Linked DNA regions of Zea mays. The main gene of each other region encodes a partner of the protein of the gene in region 3 in a complex. Links are inferred from orthologs where the notes say so. Each region holds a gene or a part of one and is shown on either strand. Other genes may lie near its edges.

What was found. Proteins that work in one complex are often made in the same cells at the same time.
Region 1: uncharacterized protein LOC100273526 (region 3) and Carbon catabolite repressor protein 4 homolog 4 share a complex: the UniProt entries of both Arabidopsis thaliana proteins name them as parts of the CCR4-NOT complex. The link is inferred for Zea mays from reciprocal best matches to the Arabidopsis thaliana genes AT5G11350 and AT1G31500.
Region 2: uncharacterized protein LOC100273526 (region 3) and CCR4-NOT transcription complex subunit 6 share a complex: the UniProt entries of both Arabidopsis thaliana proteins name them as parts of the CCR4-NOT complex. The link is inferred for Zea mays from reciprocal best matches to the Arabidopsis thaliana genes AT5G11350 and AT3G58580.

Annotation. Positions count from the first base shown.
Region 1 is NC_050101.1:154,485,735-154,492,498, forward strand, and holds part of Carbon catabolite repressor protein 4 homolog 4, read right to left. Parts: coding exon 6,672-6,764; intron 6,586-6,671; coding exon 6,500-6,585; intron 6,391-6,499; coding exon 6,341-6,390; intron 6,181-6,340; coding exon 6,131-6,180; intron 5,560-6,130; coding exon 5,490-5,559; intron 4,784-5,489; coding exon 4,662-4,783; intron 4,358-4,661; coding exon 4,248-4,357; intron 3,354-4,247; coding exon 3,203-3,353; intron 3,063-3,202; coding exon 2,915-3,062; intron 14-2,914; exon of another isoform or gene 1-13. UniProt on the Arabidopsis thaliana protein: Acts as a catalytic component of the CCR4-NOT core complex, which in the nucleus seems to be a general transcription factor, and in the cytoplasm the major mRNA deadenylase involved in mRNA turnover.
Region 2 is NC_050096.1:14,208,030-14,213,487, forward strand, and holds the end of CCR4-NOT transcription complex subunit 6, read left to right. Parts: coding exon 1-367; intron 368-917; coding exon 918-1,004; intron 1,005-1,080; coding exon 1,081-1,164; intron 1,165-1,249; coding exon 1,250-1,336; intron 1,337-1,427; coding exon 1,428-1,514; intron 1,515-3,395; coding exon 3,396-3,449; intron 3,450-3,539; coding exon 3,540-3,631; intron 3,632-3,742; coding exon 3,743-3,857; intron 3,858-3,945; coding exon 3,946-4,096; intron 4,097-4,275; coding exon 4,276-4,421; 3' UTR 4,422-4,429; intron 4,430-4,721; 3' UTR 4,722-5,260; downstream 5,261-5,458. UniProt on the Arabidopsis thaliana protein: Acts as a catalytic component of the CCR4-NOT core complex, which in the nucleus seems to be a general transcription factor, and in the cytoplasm the major mRNA deadenylase involved in mRNA turnover.
Region 3 is NC_050098.1:230,201,402-230,208,165, forward strand, and holds part of uncharacterized protein LOC100273526, read right to left. Parts: intron 5,411-6,764; coding exon 5,318-5,410; intron 5,195-5,317; coding exon 5,162-5,194; intron 5,083-5,161; coding exon 4,991-5,082; intron 1-4,990. UniProt on the Arabidopsis thaliana protein: Acts as a catalytic component of the CCR4-NOT core complex, which in the nucleus seems to be a general transcription factor, and in the cytoplasm the major mRNA deadenylase involved in mRNA turnover.

The DNA of each region.
Region 1 (6,764 bases), on a different chromosome or scaffold from region 3:
GTGGCTCTTTCACCTACAAGCAGTTTAGGGTTTGGGAGGAAAAATGTTCAATTTAGGCAGGTGATTGCGGCAGTCTTTTGCAGAGCCGTGTTTGAGCTTGAAATTATTCTGTAGCCAAACATATATCTTACCAAAGAATAGGATATTCATCTTAGTTAGTTTCCCATGATATTTCAAATACTATAGCTCACATGTTTTGCAATGCTTCGTTTCTGTGGTTTTAATATCTCATTTCAAGGCTTTTGTGCATTTTTGGCTCACATGTTTTGCAATGCTTCGTTTATGTGGTTTTAATATCTCATTTCAAGGGTTTTGTGCATTCTTGACTATATGATTCATCGTCAATTATATGCATTACTTTTGTATGATCTGTTGTTTGGTATAACCATTGCATTTGAATATGTCATGGCCAATTGTTATCTCTTGGTTTTCTCTTGAGCTGGATAGGGCGCCCCAAGGGGCGCTGCCTGATCTAGTACCGTTCAATAGAGCATGGATCTATAGTTACTGTTGGAATGTGAATCCTAACCCTAACAGGGGTTGGGTGGTGTATTAATAGACTTGAGTACTGGGCCAGGTCCATTACAGAGGGGCGAGACAGTAATTACACAGGGAAAAACCCCAAACCCTAAACGGGTATTCTAACACCCCCCGCAGTCACAACTCTATCCTGTACAGATGTTGAGACTGGAGCGAAAGTCTAAAAATACACTCGACGGTAACCCCTTGGTGAAGATGTCAGCGAATTGCAGCGTGGTGGGGACGCTGAGAACCCGAACGTCACCGGCAGCGACACGCTCGCGGACGAAGTGCAGGTCAATCTCCACGTGCTTCGTGCGCTGATGCTGCACGGGATTGGTGGAGAGGTAGACCGCGCTGACGTTGTCGCAGTAGACGAGGGTGGCGCGCTGAAGGGGACTGTGGAGCTCGTGGAGGAGTTGTCGTAGCCAGGAGGCCTCTGCCACGCTGTTGGCCACGGCGCGGTACTCGGCCTCAGCGCTGGAGCGAGAGACGACGGGCTGCCGTTTGGCGGCCCAAGAGACGAGGTTGGCGCCCATGAACACGGCGTAACCAGAGGTGGACCGGCGCGTGTCGGGACAGCCAGCCCAGTCAGCGTCGGTGTAGACCACGAGTTCCGACGTCGGGGATGGTCGCAATAGGAGGCCATAGTCGAGGGAGCCGCGGAGGTAGCGCAGTATCCGCTTGAGAGCGGTGAGGTGGGGCTCCCGCGGAGTGTGCATATGTAGGCACACTTGCTGGACGGCGTAGGCGATGTCGGGCCTGGAGAAGGTGAAGTACTGGAGCGCGCCGGTCAGGCTCCGATAGGACGTCGCGTCAGCGACCGGAGGCCCGTCGACCTCAGAGAGCTTTGCCTGAGTGTCGACAGGCGTGGAGCAGGGCTTGCAGTCAGACATGCCAGCCCGCTCCAGGATGTCGATGGCGTACTGGAGCTGGTGGAGGAAGAGACCCTGAGGCCGGCGCTCGGCGGTGATGCCGAGGAAGTGGTGGAGGGGCCCCAGGTCCTTCATCGCGAACTCCCGCTGAAGGGCGACGATCGTGCGCTGTAGAAGGTCGGCGGTGGATGCCGTGAGCACAATGTCGTCGACGTAGAGTAGGAGGTAGACGGTGTCGTCGCCACGCCGGTAGATGAACAGGGACGTGTCCGACTTGGCCTCGACGAAGCCGATGGAGGCCAAGTAGGAGACGAAGCGACTGTACCATGCCCGCGGCGCCTGCTTGAGGCCGTACAGGGATCGGTTCAGCCGGTAGACCAGATCCGGACGATTGGCGTCGACGAAGCCGGTGGGCTGGCTGCAGTAAACAGTCTCCGTCAGAGTGCCATGGAGGAAGGCATTCTTGACGTCAAGCTGATGGATCGCCCAATCGTGGGAGAGGGCGAGGGAGAGGACGGCGCGGACAGTGGCGAATTTGACGACGGGGCTGAAGGTCTCGTCGTAGTCTACTCCGGGGCGCTGGGTGAAGCCCCGAAGGACCCAACGGGCCTTGTAGCGGTCGAGGGAGCCATCCAAGGTCAGCTTGTGGCGAAATAGCCACTTGCCGGTGACCACGTTGGTGTCTGGTGGACACGGCACCAGGTCCCAGGTGTGGTTGGCCAAGAGGGCTGCGTACTCCTCCTCCATAGCACGACGCCAATGTGGGTCGGCGAGGGCAGCGCGAACGGAGGAGGGCACAGGGGATGCGTCCGGAGGAGTGCAGGTCGTATCCGCTGCCAGGATCAGCCGGTCGACGGGGCGAAGAACGCCAGCAACGCTTGTTGCAGGACAACAGCTTGTGGGTGAACCTGACCACGTCGAGGCGGATCGGCGCCCCGAAGACGGGCGGTAAGGCGATGCCGGGGGCGTCGGTTACCATGTCGCCCTCTAGGTCCTTCACGGAGACGAGGGGGCGGTTGACGGCGACCATGGCGGCGGCGGCTAGGGTTTGGGCGGCGCGGCGGTGGTGCGAATGGGGTTGGCAGTGCCCGAGAGGGAGATGGGGGCTAGAAAAAATTAAGTTGCCTCTGATACCATGTTGGAATGTGAACCCTAACCCTAACAGGGGTTGGGTGGTGTATTAATAGACTTGAGTACTGGGTCATGCCCATTACAGAGGGGCGAGACAGTAATTACACAGGGAAAACCCCCAAACCCTAAACGGGTATTCTAACAGCTACGTCCATAAGTCCATTCATTATAAGATAGTTTTGCATCCCATGCGGTCCATACATGTCCAAAAAGAAGTAATACACCCAATAATTGGATTTTTATATTAAAAATGACCTCACAGAATCATCTCTACGATGGTTCTAACTATACTTTGTATTACAATAGATAGAAATAATAGCTAAAGCACGAAATGATGTTCTTACAAGTCAATAAGCTTCAGGAAGCAATGAAATAAATGCAAGGCATACCTTGTCACCAGGTGTCGAATTGAAGTCACCAGCAATGATCACTGAAGGTTTACAATTATATTTATTTGAGATGAGTTGCTCAAACTGAGATACTCTCGAAAGAAGATATTTTGCCTGAGCCAACTTTACATCGATCCATTGTGGGTCCCTACAGAGTTATGCATCAAACAAAAATTTATACATTTGCTGGACAACTGCCAAACAATGTAGCTGAGACTAAAAACAACAAAAATGTGCAGGGAATTGTGAAAGCAAATTCCAAAGAGAGTAAAATTCTGTTTCACTTGCCAATAAATATGTGTGTTTGCCACAATCAAAATTTGATCACAAGGATCACTAAGCTTGAAAGCCGCGAGTAAACCAACACAGTCCCGCTTCAATCTAACGCGTGGATCATTTGGATCTCCACGCTTGCTATTATCTGGCTTTGCATTCTTGTCTGGAAAAAAGAGAGAAAACATCATGAAGTATTGACGTCAAGCATCAGACCAGGCAAGAGATAAATCCAAAGTACAGGAAATAGCAACAGTATGAGGTTAGAGGAGTTTGCTAACTCGTTAGACACTGATATATAATGCATCTCCGGCAATAGATTTATTAAGCATTAAGAACAAAACAAAACAAAAAATAGCCCACTCCAATATATAGCTTGTAAATAGCATTTTTAGCCCAGATTACAAGTTTAAAGATTCATGGCGGAGCACCCCACTACAAGGTCGTTAGGATCAGGATACTAGGCACTATCGTTTTTTGGCTGACAGTATTAGATCGTAGGATCATATCGTAGTATTGGGATACTATCAGATGTCACAAACTATATATTTTATGTAAAATTTGTAATATGCTATATAGAATATAGATTGAACAACTATAATATTAATTTTGATTAACTTGTTTCACTGTTTATATATTTAAGCGCAATTCTTAACATTATTTTAACACCTCTTAACTTTAAATAATACTTTACCATAGACAAAACTAAATCATTTAAAAAGTAATTTATATCAACTACTATGTGGTATTGTAGGATCATAGTATCGGGATGCTATGAATTTTTATGTAGAATCATATGGAGCCTTTAGGTAGGATCAGGATACTATGAATTTTTTATGTAGAATCATAGGATCAGGAATTTGGGATACTATGAAATTGAAGATACTCAGTAGGATCGGTATCATTTTGACCCGGGAGGATCGGTATCATTCCAACACGGTAGAATATAATTATATAATATCCTAAAATACTAGGATACGGATAGGGATACTGATATCCTTGCACCATTGTGATTTACAGATATTATTATAGTATGAATGTATGATACAAGTCCAATTACCTTCTTCTGCTGAAGAATTATTTTCCAGAGCACTATTTACATTATCACTAGGAACATATTTTTCTACTAAATCATTGTACAGTATTACTTCTTTCTGCACCAGTTCTGCACTGCAAAGGTAAGAGAGATTCAAAGAAAAATGATGAGGTAAAAATACTTTTGCAATACACATAAAGAAGCTAAGTCCCAGAAGACCCAACATGTTCCATGTTCAACTTTCTAGATCACTGATGATTTATTTAAAAGAAATTGTTCCCAAACTGAAGACACGTAGTTATTAATGATCACTTTCCATGAAATCGTCCATAGTACATTGGATGCAAGAGAACACATATTTTGATGGGTGAGGTTAAATGTTACTTTTTTCCTCAGATCAGTAGCTGTTATGACATGTTCAAGGGAAAACATTAATACCTTTTAGGTTTATAGAATATACCACAGCCATCTCGTTTGTCTCCAGATCGCTGAATGTAAATACTTGAATATCCAGAGTTTTCCATGTTTTTCTTATAGAAGGTATCATATTCATCCAACTCCTGCGCAGGTCACATGAATTATATATTGCTTACAATTATTAACCAGAAGAAAATCATTCCACACAAAAGAGACTGACCATTGATAGTAGGTATACCAGCATCCCAATAAACTTGTTTGTGAACAAATAGGACAACGATAATTTTGAACTACATGTGATAGCTGAAATCTAGTTGGGCAAAATCCAAATCCAGTTTCTGACAGGAAAGTAAAATTAAGACATACTAGCCCAACATTACATTGCCATGTCATGCATGCCATCTAGTGAGATTGTTAGGATGGAATTGTTCCATAAGATAAAAAAAGAAATAAACACCATTACTACTCCATATTGCAACCCCTTGCCTCATTATCAGCATAAGCACAAGTATCATACCATAAGCTCCTGGGTGCCAAGGAACAGAAGAAGCAGCTGTGGACAGAGGACAAAGACAGGAAAGGTAGCAATATAGAGAGGGCTCAGAGGACAGGAAGAGAAGTGGATTTCTCCTTTTTTGGACAAGATGGCACGAAGTAGGATGTGACTCATAAACTTGACCAACACTGCCACAACAGCACAATCTGTTGGATTTCTTCATATTCATTGGCAAAATTTTGTGGTGCTACAACACCCTAGATAATAAGAATAAAATTTGAACTGAAAAGACAACATATTCTGTAATGTAACCAAAGTAATAATAAACACTGCAGAACTTTATATAAGACAACCTGTATGCACATGAAGTCAGCATCAAAGCTCTTTAGTTCTGTAAGAATAGCTCCCGATCGAGATTTCCACCTATTTTGCAAACATGAAATAGGAACATAAGTTAGGGGCCATGTTGTCAATATCTGTTGTGAAAATTAAATAGTATAACAGTACTCCCTTCGTTCCAAATTGGAAGTCGTTTTGGCTCTCTTAGACACAGATTTTACAATGAATCTAAACATAACTTATGTCTAGGTACATAGCAAAAGATATATATATATATATGCATCTAGAAAAGCCAGAATGACTTACAATCCGGAATCCGAGGGAGTATATTACTACTTTTTAGAAGTCTAAAAGTTGTATTGCTGAGCAAACATGTCATCAAGTTTGATTAGGATCTGCTGGGTAACCCATCATTCATGGAACCAAATTTGTATAATTCAATATCACTTGGTTCCACTTATGAAGCCTAGTTCAAGTAAGTCACATGAAAATAGTTAGATAAGGAAATTCCAAAGATTTCTTACTTTCTCAGACACCATGACTATACAGCATTAGAACCTTAAGTACCATGACTATAAGGAAAGTCCAATAAACAGCGTTTTCGAGAGAGAAAATCCAATACACAACACAAACAACTGATCAATCAAGGGCTTACTTGAGGCACGCAGATGGGGAATGAGGAAAAAGCGTACTCTTAACATAAACCTGCAGCACAGAGCAAACTATTAGGCACCGTTGGCCGCCAATGATCCACACGGATGGTCCCACCGACAGAGATGGCATAATAACATAGAGCCAAAACGGGGAGAGAGTGGCAAAATAGCAAATTTCTCGCTAGAAAGCTAAGAAAAAAAAACAGACACACCTGGGCCAAGATGTTGTAAGAGACCAGCCGGAACTGGTACCGTGCAGCCCCTGGAAGCCAAAACCCAAAACGAATATTAGCATCGACCACACAGAAATTCCACTGTTGCAAGTGTCAGTGATTAGTTTCCTTAAGATTTCAGGGCTGACGAGGACTGACCGCCATCTGTTTGGGATTCAGTTTGCTCCGTAGGGAGAGGGGCAAACCTGGGATGCGCCAGCGTGCTCATCCGCCGCTTGCAGACCCTAATTTTGCGTATCCAGTGAAGCGTTAGAACGAAGAGTGCAAGAGAGGAAACAAGGGACAGGGTTAGGGGTGGGAATGCCCTCACGGGACAAAGGAGAGCGGCCGGTCACCGGCAGGAGATGGACTGGCCGCGGTTCTCGAGCAGCGGCGGATGAGAAGGAGAGGGAGGGAAGCTGTC
Region 2 (5,458 bases), on a different chromosome or scaffold from region 3:
GGCAACTACTGATGATATTGGACATGTGCTAAGATTTGAATGTATAGTTGTGGATGTGGAAACACGGGGGACTGTGAGAGCTCCTACTTCAGTCATGACATCCCGTGTAATCCCAGCACCGACCCCGACACCACGCCGCTTGATCCCTGTTAATGCAGCTGATGCAATGGTCCACTTCGATTTAGATAGCCGGACTTCTTCTTTTGGGACATTTACTGTGCTGTCCTACAATATTCTTGCTGATACATATGCAACAAGTGATACATACAGCTATTGTCCAACTTGGGCACTTACATGGGCTTATAGAAGGCAAAATTTGTTGCGTGAAATTATTGGTTACCATGCTGATATTATCTGCCTTCAGGAGGTATGAATGCTATTGTTTTTCATGTTTGAAGTTTAAGGCTCTGATTTGCATCTTTAATTGTTAATAAATTGCACTTATTATGTTCAGCATGATGAGTTTAAGAAATTACTATTGATGTTGTTATGTTCCTGTCAATCTGTGATACATTGAGATTGCTCCATTGCTTCATGACACCATCCTTTGGTCTTCTGTTAATTCTGAGTAACTAAATTGTAGTTATAAAAATAATGTTAATGTGATTTCTTCATTAGCCCGACTGCCCGAGGCAGGATAGTTTCCCAGCACCTTTCTGTTGAATGAGAAGTACTATCATAACTTTTTTATCTGCCTTCTGGAGTCCTTAAATTGTTTGATTGTTGTTTCTTGATTGTGCTGCATCCCCCCTTAAACTCATGAAGCATAAAACATAAGTGACACCTGAAATTATTCCCTTTCTCATATGATCAATGTCTCAGAGAGGAAGGAGTCTTTATTTTGTAAGAATCAGTATAAAAGAAAAACCATGCCATTTCTATGCTTCTAAAGGTGATCTATATGTTACTATTTGCAGGTACAAAGTAATCACTTTGAAGATTTTTTTTCACCGGAGCTTGATAAACATGGGTACCAACCTCTATATAAGAAAAGGACGACAGAGGTTTGTTTGGTTCTTTACTGCTTGCTGTAAAACCTTGGTATGGTGTAGTGCGTAATTTGGAATATTGCTGTCACAGGTGTACAGCGGAAGTCCTCAAGCAATTGATGGTTGCGCTACTTTCTTTCGTCGGGACAGATTTTCGCATGTCAAAAAATATGAGGTCAGTGCCTTCTTTTTCCTGCAGTGTTTGAGAGTTGACTTGATACTATCAGCATCTAATGCTTTCTGGACTTTGTTATATGCAGGTCGAGTTCAATAAGGCTGCACAGTCTTTAACTGATGCAATTATTCCTGCCGCTCAAAAAAAGTTAGCTCTAAATCGTTTGGTTAAGGTGCAACCAATATGGGAACTACAAATATACCATAAGTGCTACATGGTCGATCATTACCTTACATCTATTACAATCTCTATCTGCCATGCAGGATAATATTGCGCTAATTGCAGTTTTAGAAGCTAAATTTAGTAACCATGGAACTGAAAACCCTAGTAAAAGGCAACTTCTCTGTGTGGTAAGTGCTTCCTTACTATCGCATATTAGCATCGGTAATATCATCTCTGTGCTGTTTTTAATATAATCAAAATCACTTCCATGAGTCTGGTGAGAACAGCTATGCTGAAAACATGTGGCTAGAATAAGGATGTCATTTAATGCAACCTTTTCAGGTCCGGTTAATGAACACTAGAGCACTAATATGAGTCTCTCATGGTTAGAAAAATAAAATAGAACACCGGATCAGTCATTTTTTTTTAACTTGTGGTGCTCTTGCTATGTCAGGGATCTATTTGCATGTTATCTATATTCATAATAACCCATGGAAATGCTGAGTATCATTAGGTACAACTAGTTATTTGATATCTTTTGGTTTTGAGTTCTTTAGGTTTTGTTGTTATTTTTTGTTGTTGTGAGTACTTGATGGTATCTTTACCCATGAGAATGCTTTCTTTTTTCTCATCAAGGATTCACTCTCATGCCACATAAATTTGGCACTTCTATTTTTTTATCACTTGTTCATTTGGAATTTAGTGATATTGATGAAGATGTTAGCCATAGGATCAAAGCAGGGTGGACGAAATGGTGTCAAGCATCGAGAGTCCTATGTGATAAGAGAGTGCTACAAAAGCTGAAAGGCAAGTTATACAGGACACGATTAGGCCTGCTATGTTATATGGGGTTGAGTGTTGGGCTACTAAGTACTAAGGATGTCATATTTAACAACTATGTGTCGCAGAGAGCCAGAGATGCATATGTTGCGTTGGATATGTGGGCACACAAGATTGGACCGAGTGAGAAATGATGACATTCGCGATCGGCTATGAGTAGCGCCAATTGAAGAAAAACTTATTGAACACCGATTGAGATGGTTTGGGCATGTCCACCAGAGACCCACAAAGTCACCGGTGCACAGAGGCATCATAAGACATGACACTAATATGAAGAGAGGTATAGGGTGGCCAAACTTGACATGGGGGGAGGCAATCGAAAGGGACTTGAAGAAATGGAATATCGCAAAGGAGTTGTGTTTGGATAGAAGGGCTTGGAAATAAGCTATCCACGTGCCTGAACCGTGATTAGGCCTTTTCCATTTTAGTTCTCTCAAAAGCTTTCCCCCTCCCTTTCTCTTTCTTTCTTTTTGGTGACTTCTTGCTGGGTTTCAACTTTAGCCTACCCCAACTTGCTTGGGACTAAAAGGCTATGTTGATGTTGATGTTGATGTTCATTTGGAATTTATTATGGTTAGGCCAGTGTTCATTGGCCATAATTTGCTTGCCATCTTTTTAATAAGCTACCCTAGATGCGGGATCCTTAGAATGAATATAAATGACACGATTTAGCTAGATCCATGCAATGATCAGGTCAGACTGAACTGCTTTGCTAGACATGGGGATAATGGTAATAGTTAGGGGAATAAAAAAGATATTGGAACTTGGAAGACAGGTAAACTGGTCCTCTATGCTTTTTATTCTGGAAGGTGGCCAACCATGTTTTTACATGGCAGAAGTGACAAGAAAACGATTTCACTGAACAGTAGAGCTCTTTTGACTAGATCATGCCAATTGTCCCTCTAATTCTTTTTGTTGGGTTTTTGAATATAGCAATTGATCTTGTTTTATTGTGTGGGTCTTATACCACCTATGTTTATATTTACTTGTTGTATCGGATATAAATATGATCTCTGGTCAAAGTATGTGCTAGCGAAATTCAATAATTTTATTACGATAAAGAAGTAACTTCGATGGTGGTCTATTTGTATCAATTTTACGCTTTACGGATAATGGTGGTCAAAGTTTCTAAAGTTTGGCTATGTCTGCTGTAGGAGGCATCTGTTTTAGACTGGAGATAGTAATATGTTATTCCTTGTGGATCTCATGTTTCTTGATTTTTTGTGCAGGCTAATACACATATAAATATCCACCATGACCTTAAAGATGTGAAGCTATGGCAGGTTCAAATACTTCCCCCTCCCTCTGTATAATTTCATAACATTTTATAATTTCTTTAACTGATGAATCTCATGGCTTGCAAACTCTTGCAGATTCATACCCTCCTAAAAGGGTTGGAAAAAATAGCTGTTAGTGCAGACATTCCAATGTTGGTCTGTGGAGATTTTAATTCAACTCCTGGAAGGTTTGTTAGATTTAGCAGCCCTTCTTTTTTGTTTGTGTTAGAGATTTAGAGTTATTGTCTTTCAGTTTGAATATTTCTACCAAATGGTAAACAATCATGTGGTTCATGTAGTACGTCACATGGGCTTCTTGCAAGGGGCAAAGTTGATCATTTGCATCCAGATCTAGCAATAGATCCTCTTGGAATTTTGCGCCCACTAAGCAAGCTGACACACCAGCTTCCTCTGGTACGTTCAATTTATCATGGATATTACCTATCGGTTTCCTTTTTTTATTCTTGTTGTGGCTCTTAATAAAGTTTTTGCTTGTTCGTAGGTCAGTGCATACTCATCATTCGTGAGTATGGCTGGTGTTGGCTATGATTTGGATCACCAGCGAAGGAGGATGGACCCTGGGACAAATGAGCCATTGTTCACAAATTGCACAAGGGATTTTACCGGTACCCTAGATTACATATTTTACACAGGTTAGTGCTTAAATTCTTGGACTGGTTCAAGCGCTTGCTCTATCTCTTCCCTTTACTTTGGTTCAAGCGCTTGGCCGCTTGCGCTATCTCTTTTCCTTTTAGTTTGGCTATCTCTGTTGATCTGGAATAAGTAGATATTGTGTTAACATTGTCTTTTACAATGTGCTCTTCTATTTCAGCGGATTCATTGACTGTAGAGTCATTATTGGAGCTGTTGGATGAGGATAGCTTGAGAAAAGACACGGCTCTTCCTTCTCCTGAATGGTCATCGGATCATATAGCGCTCCTAGCAGAATTCCGGTGCAAGCTTAGAGTTAGACGATGATACTTTAGGTATGGGGAGAATATTACTATTACTCATTCAATACTGCCTTCGACTTTACTTCCTGTCCCCCATGTTAATGGTCTTTGTAGGGGTAAGTCTTGCCTCGATTATTCCTTCCCCAGACCCCACTCATTGTAGATAATATTAAGGTCTGTCTCTTATATTTTTAAGTTGTATGCTTGATTGTGGAACCCACTGAATGCATGATCTGCTAGAAATTGTGCTAGTATATGTGCCCATGTATTGACCCTGATGATGTTACCATCTATATCTCATATCATACTCGTTTGTGTTTGCCAGGAGGAGCTGTAGGGGAGGGATTCTTGACAATCGCATGAGATGATGAGAATGTACCCTGGCGAAGGCAGGAACGAGAAGCCTAAGGGAAAGAGGCTTGTTATGTTCCTCACCCTTTTACATTTCCGCCTCGATGTTCTCTAGTGGCACTAGTTGGAATGCGACTTCCAATAGAAGATATATTATCAATGCAAAGAGAAATGATTTAATAGATTCGTGTGCCGTTTTAGTTTTCCATCCTCACATTCTCGCCCCCCTCCCCCCCCCCCCCCCCCCCCCCCCCTCTTCAATGTGAGTTCATTGTCCACATTTTTGTTTCCTACCATGAATGTGCTCTAGTTCTTACAAACTAAAAATGGCCCCTTCCATAGTGTATGTATGTCTCTTGAGCAGGGATCAGCTTTGGCGTAGTTTACTGTGTTGAAGATGCTTAGTTGAAAAGTGATGTCGGGTTATCTATGATGGATATTGAACGAATACCTGGTGACTAGAGAGAGCTTCACATTGGGGAAGCTATACTGAATGAAAACTGTGAATTTTGATGTCTCTCTTGCAGTGGTTTCTGAAGCACCCATCTCAATCTATTGTTATATATATATATTTTTATTCCTGAACTTGTTATACAAAGTAATTTGTTTCACATGGCAATAACATGTTGGAACTGGTTTGGAAGAGATGGAAGCTGCTGGTGGGATAATGTAGCCTGGCAATGTTGGGTAATTTGCCTGTGTAAAAAAGAC
Region 3 (6,764 bases):
GCAAGCTCTTCGGATATGACATTATCGTCGAGTACAAGCCGGGGAAGATGAATGGGGCGGTCGATGCGCTGTCTCGGCGTGACGAGGAGGTGGTGGCCTCCCTCCACACCATCTCCTCGCCCTCCTTCGAGCTCTTCGAAGCGCTGCGGACCGAGCTCCTCACCAACCAGCAGGCTGCGACATTACGCTAGCAGATAGCCGATGGCTCTGCTCCAGCCGGTTGGACTGGGGTGGATGGCCTCCTCACCTTCGACGGTCGCGTCTATGTGCCAGATGTGTCGCCAATTTGGTCACAACTGTTGGCGTACGTCCACGACAACAACCATGAAGGTATCCAAAAGACGGTCAACCGCTGGCGCGCCTCCTTCCACAACCCCGGCGTGTTGCAGCGCATCCGCGATTATGTGCACGGGTGTACCAATTGCCAGAAGAACAAGACCGATCATCTACATCTCGTCGATCTTCTTCAGCCCCTAACCGTCCCTTCGGAGGTTTGGAGCGACATTTCCGTGGATTTTGCGGAAGGTTTTCCACGTGCTGGTGGCAAGACGGTGGTCCTTACTATGGTGGACAGATTCTCGAAGTATGCACACTTCATCGCTATTCGCCGCCCATACACGACATCGTCCGTGGCCAGGGCCTTCTTCGACGACATCGTCCGCTTACATGGGCTCCCCTGCTCAATCGTCAGCGACCACGACACAATCTTTACCAGTCTTTTCTAGACTGAATTGTTCAAGTTGGCCGGTGTCAAACTAAACATGAGCTCAGCATTCCACCCACAGTCCGACGGTCAATCCGAAGTGGTAAATCGGGTCATCACCATGTATTTGAGGTGTCTTGCAGGAGACCGACTGAAGTCCTGGCTGCAGTGGTTGCCATGGGCCGAATATTGCTACAATACTTCATACCAAACATCCATCAAGTGCTCGCCATTCCGTGTCCTCTATGGCCTGGAGCCGCCAACCCTGTTGTCCTATCAGTCAGGCTCCACTAAGGTAGCAGCACTGGACCACTAGCTGCAGGACCGCGAAAATTCTTGTTGGAAATCCGGGAGCGTCTTCTTGAGGCACAAATCACCATGAAAGCTTACCAGGAAACGTCGCCAGGTGGAGTTCCAAGTCGGCGGTTGGGTGTGGCTTCGCCTACAGCAGCGCAGTCGGACTAACTTTAGCTGCTCCCTCAAAACTTGGGCCAAAGTACTATGGTCCATACCAGGTCCTCCTTCGGGTAGGGTTGGTCTCATACAAGCTGCATTTGCCACCTCGTGCTCGCATACACGATGTCTTCCATGTTTCCTTGCTGAAGAAATTTGAAGGGGAGGCACCACCACAAGTGGTACCATTACCTGTGATCTTGCATGGTCGTGTTCTACCAACACCATCCAAGGTGGTACGTGCCAGACTCAACAGAGGTGTGTGGGAATTGTTGGTTCAGTGGTCTGGTCGTGCTGAGACAGATGCTTCCTGGGAACCACTCGAAGAATTCAAGCAGAGGTATCCAGAGTTCGAGCTCGCGGAAGAGTTCTTTGTTGGGATGGAGGGAAATGTTGTGGGCCAGTTTGTAGGCCGCCAATATCAAAGGCGCACAAGGCCAGCAGCAGGTGTAGGAAAGGAAGGAGCCAACGCAAGAAAGCAATAAGAGGATAGAAGGAAGGTTTTGATTGAATAAATCAATTCCTCCAATCAATGGCTGAGTTGTTAGGAAGCTAAATCAGTTCCTCCAATCAAGGGTTGAGTTGTTAGGAAGTTTAGATTTGATATTTCTATTTCCAAATATCTAGGATAAATAATAGGAAAGGTTTGGTGGCTCATAATCTATAAAGCCAGCCAATAGTTTGTACTAGAGAATCATCGAAGAAGTTAATCCTTAGTGGACAGATACTTCGGTCACCCTGGCTGATCCAGCCAGCCGTGACACTAGCTGCCCCCTTACCCCCATACCCCCTGCGTTCCATTCCCCAAGCCCATCTCCTTTTCCACTCACCGTTGAAGAGTCCCAGGCGCCGGCGCCATATCAACGGATCATTTAAAGTAACCTGCTGCGAAGATGGTGAACTATTTGAAGTTTCTGGAAGCTGGTCTTCCTCTTCAAGTAAGTGACCATTACCACCAGACAACTCCTCAAAGAAGGGTCAGAATTAACATCTTCTTAGGTAACTTCATCCGTTGTTGTATCATCCTCAAAAGCAGAAGCATTGTTTTCAGGCTCATTTCTACAAGAGATTGAATGCCTCTTTATCACTTCGGCCGAACATTGATTGACACAGGCATCTAAAGCAGCATCATTTGGTTGATGTACTGGTTCTTCTACTCCACTACTACTCTCTCCTAGCTTCACAGTGTTCATCTGGTGAATGGCATCAGCGACATTCTTAGAAGTTAGAACCATTGAAATGAGATGACTCTGGTTCATTAGCTGCACAATTCTCTTCAGCAGACAACATGGAATCGATGGTATTTTCCTTTTCCTGAGGCTTATCTTGTGGGACAGTAAACAGTTGATCTGTAAGTTCTTCTGAAATCACATCACCAGCCAAGTTGTCTGAAGAAAGCAGCTGGATCCTATCAATTATTTTACATGAACCTGACCTAAGGATATCAGTACAGATAGCTGGAGCAGATGGCGCATCTGTAATGTCATGTCCTTCTCCAGATTCAGTTTTGATCCGTCCAGGAGACCCTTCGCTGGATTTGTCAGCAGGTTTACACTCTTCATCAGCATCAGAAGTACAGGCACCCTTTACAGGATCTTCCAACAAGTTCGATAATCCTTGCTTGTCAAGCTTAGAAGTGCAACTTGATTTGGAGTCAAAGACAGACTCTGAAGAGGTGTCAGTTAAAACAGGTTCTCTCCTGGCAGGGGAAGAATTCTCCACCAACTTTGTGGTTTCCGTTTGAGGCTTAGAATCATTTATAAGAGTTATGTTTCCCACTTTATTGTTGGTTGCATAAAAAGGTGGATGAGATCTGTCACAAATAGAAAGCAACCAATGAATCTGTTATGGTCGCTAGATCGGTGAGGGATTGGAGAGGGGTATCGATGGGCAGGAATGTCGGCCAGGGGTCTCTGTCCACGGCCGAGCAAGAGAAGGGAGCTCTCCCTTCTAATTCTTACCTACTTTATTTCTCATCCATTCATTACATAAATAGGCCAGCTGGCCGCCTCTATCTAGCTAGAGATCCTTATCTCCCTAAAACTCTCCTAAAAACTCTCAACTACTAACTAATAACCTTCCTAGATAATCTTAACTAATCTCCTAAATAATCTCAACTAATCTTCTAATCTTATCTCTAACTATCCTTATCTAATCCCCTTTAGAGGGCCCATGGTTGCTGCTGTCGCAGCCCCTCCATGGGCCTTCTTAGGCCATGACACTACCCCCTTGACAAGCAGCTCGTCCTCGAGCTGCAGCATCCAACAAACGACCTGTAATGACCTAACATATCACCAAAAATGAACCTTTTACATCTCGGCTCATCTTTTAATTATTCTAGATATACTGCAACTGCAAGCATCATCATGTGTCCCAAGAAAATGTTGCACATTAAAGAGAAGGGCGCGAGCTGGAACCGCGGAGGTAAAGACACAGCAGCCTTCGAAGGCGGGCCCGTGGAGGCCGACGTTGGTGCTGTCCCCTCGTACGAAGGAGAGTAGTCGTGGTAGTTGCCCGGTCTCCGCAGATGAGGGCCAACGCTGGACGAAGCGTTGTAGAGGGGTGTCATGTCTTGCAGCCTCTTGTATGCGGAGGTGAACAGCCACCACAATGCTCGGCCGCGCTGGTGCAGCTACGGCTCCCCCGCAATGGAGCACCCCATCACCTGCTTCACCCGCCGACACGCAAGGAAACCACGTGTTGCAGCCTGCAGGTGGATGGTCCCATCCACCCCCCCCCCCCAGTACCGGACGCCCGGTGGCTGCGCGCCGCCACAAGGCCCCAGGGCAGTAGTAGGCGCCGGCGCCGGCGGTACTGCTGTGGTGATCGGCGTTGTTGACGAGTAGATCGGCAGCGGATCTGATCCCAACGCCCATGTCGGAATTTGAGATGACGATCGCGGAAAGTGCAGCTGGTGGATCGATACGCTCGGCGGCTGGAAGGACGCTGGGGTGGCTGTTAGGGCCAGCTGTGACAATGACGACTGAGCTGCTACGGCCTCGGATGGCGAAGGTAGGGACGACGGCGGCTGGGAGCCCATCATGACGGCCTTCATCACGGCTACGTCAGACTGCAGCGCCATCATCTGGGCTTGTATGGCTCCCAGATTGTTGGAGAAGTGGAGAAGGAACGTCGCCAGTTGCTCGTTTGTCATCGTGGGAAGGTTGGTGGAGATACCGACGGTGGAATTGCCGAGCGCGGTGGAGGTGGGTAGCGCCGGCGGTGGATGCAAGCGGCAGTGTGCGCGGCTGGGAGGTGAGCGGCAGGGTGGCGGGTGGTGCTGGTGGAGAGGAGCTCATGGTGGCCGGAGGATCGTAGGTCGCTGATACCAAATGATATGGTCGCTAGATCGGTGAGGAATTGGAGGGGTATTGATGGGCAGGAACGTCGGCCGAGAGCCTCTGCCCACGGCCGAGCAAGGAGGGTTTCTCCCTTCTAATTTTTGACTACTTTATTTCTCATCCATTCATTACATAAATAGGACAGTTGTCCGCCCCTATCTAGGTAGAGATCCTTATCTCCTTAAAACTCTTCTAAAAACTCTCAACTACTAACTGATAACCTTCCTAGATAATCTCAACTAATCTCCTAAGTAATCTCAACTAATCTTCTAATCTTATCTATAACCATCCTTATCTAATCCCCCTTGGAGGGCCCATGGTTGCTGCTGCCGCAGCACTATTGCTGCCGCAGCCCCTCCGTGGGCCTCCTTAGGCCTCCTTAGGCCCTGACAGAATCACACATCTATAAAACATTAGAAAAAGACAGGTTACAGTGTAGGAAGAGATTGGCCAAAAACAAATAGTAAACAATTTCAAAAGGCAGAAGATTCACCCAGATATATTAGGGCCAGTATATAGCCCCTGTGAACTACCACCAATTTGCTGTCCAGATATAGTATTTCTCGCAAGGCCAGACAAATTCAACTGCACATTTTGGAAGCTTTATTAGGTTTCAACCCCATGAAATCAGCGACACTAATGGATTGAAGAGAAAAAACACTACCTTTTGCCCCAACATAAAATTATACAATGGACTCTGAATAAGAAAGAAATGAGATAAAAGTTAAATACTTGTCTATGTTAATCATTACCTAGACAAAAACAGTAAATTACCATGTAATCTCAAATAGATAAATAGAGACCCATACAAGAACATTACCTTGGGTGTAGAGTTAAAATCTCCACAAACTATCACTGGAGCATCATTCCACATCTTAGATAGAGCGTTAGCTTTATCCAGAAGTGTCCTGACCTGTAGGACCATAAAATCAGAAAGCAGAAATGCAATATTAAGGTGCTTAGCAAATGATCAAGAATACAGAGAAAGAAGAAAAGACACTACACAGAACACAGAAATTATGCCAAGAAAGAATAAAGCATCACGTATCAACATATAAAATGTCTCTTTCATACAGAATAGCATATAATAAAAGATGTTAGATTGTTATGTGCTGCTTATGTGTATGGGACTAGAGCCCGGCCCATGTGGCCTGCTAGTGGGACGTAACCCTAGGCAAGGCTGGTTAGTTAATAAAGTGTAGCACTCTTCCAATTAATATAAGCCATCCATTTACACTCTTCCAATATGGTATCAGATAGTTAGCCCTAACTTGGCTGCCACCACCCTACCCCTGCCACCTAACCCCCTCTCGAGCACCACCATTGTTGGTCGGTCATCCCATGGTTGCGGCAACTTCTGGGGATGCTTTCTCTCCTCTTCACCCCCATCCTTCCTCGCTAGAGAGGCACGTGGGTTGGCATAGCCAGAGCCGCCCCGGCCCTCGTCGGGGTTGCGGCGGCGGCCGTGTCTCAGCCGCCGCCTGATACGCCCCCCAGGCGCCGCCTCCGGACGTCACCGGCGTGCCTCCCATAGGGATGGGCATGCTGACCACCTGGCCATTGATTTTCAGGCTCGCGTTGTGCCTATGCTCCACCTCTGCTGCCCCCTGCAGGCCACCACACGCTAGCCTAGGCGCGCCGCCGGCCTAAACCATCGATTTCGGCTCTACCCCAACCCCCTCTGCTGCATTTGGTGGCACTGCCACCAACTCGGACATCCATCCTCACCATGTCGTAGATGCGGCTCAATCCATCCTTGTCGCAATCCTCACTAAAAGAAACTAGAACCCCTTGTATTACATAGAGGATGGTTACATATATATAGACACAGGGAAACATTAACCGTAATGGATCGGCAGCCCAACAGTGGTGCCAGCCCACCTACACATACATATAGGAACACACACTTAATAGCGAGGGGATTCCTCCCCCATGGATCCCCTCCATTTCCCTGTCCACCAAACCAGCCCTAATGGGTCGGCAGCCCAACAGTGGTGCCAGCTCACCTACACATACATATAGGAACACACTCTAACACTCGCCTTCACTGACACCCTCCTTGTCTGATGTGATAGCTCCACCCTTGTACACCCAATGGCTTCTAGCTTCCACTACACCAACCGCTTCCAATCCATCACCATCTCTATCCTAGCCGAGTGCACTAAGTGTTGATCTTGTAGTCGGGGCACTCATGAGCATCAATTCATGCCTAACAGTTAGGTCTTCATGTTAGAGTTCCCTTCCCTAGCTCCTCCCAAGTTGTGCAT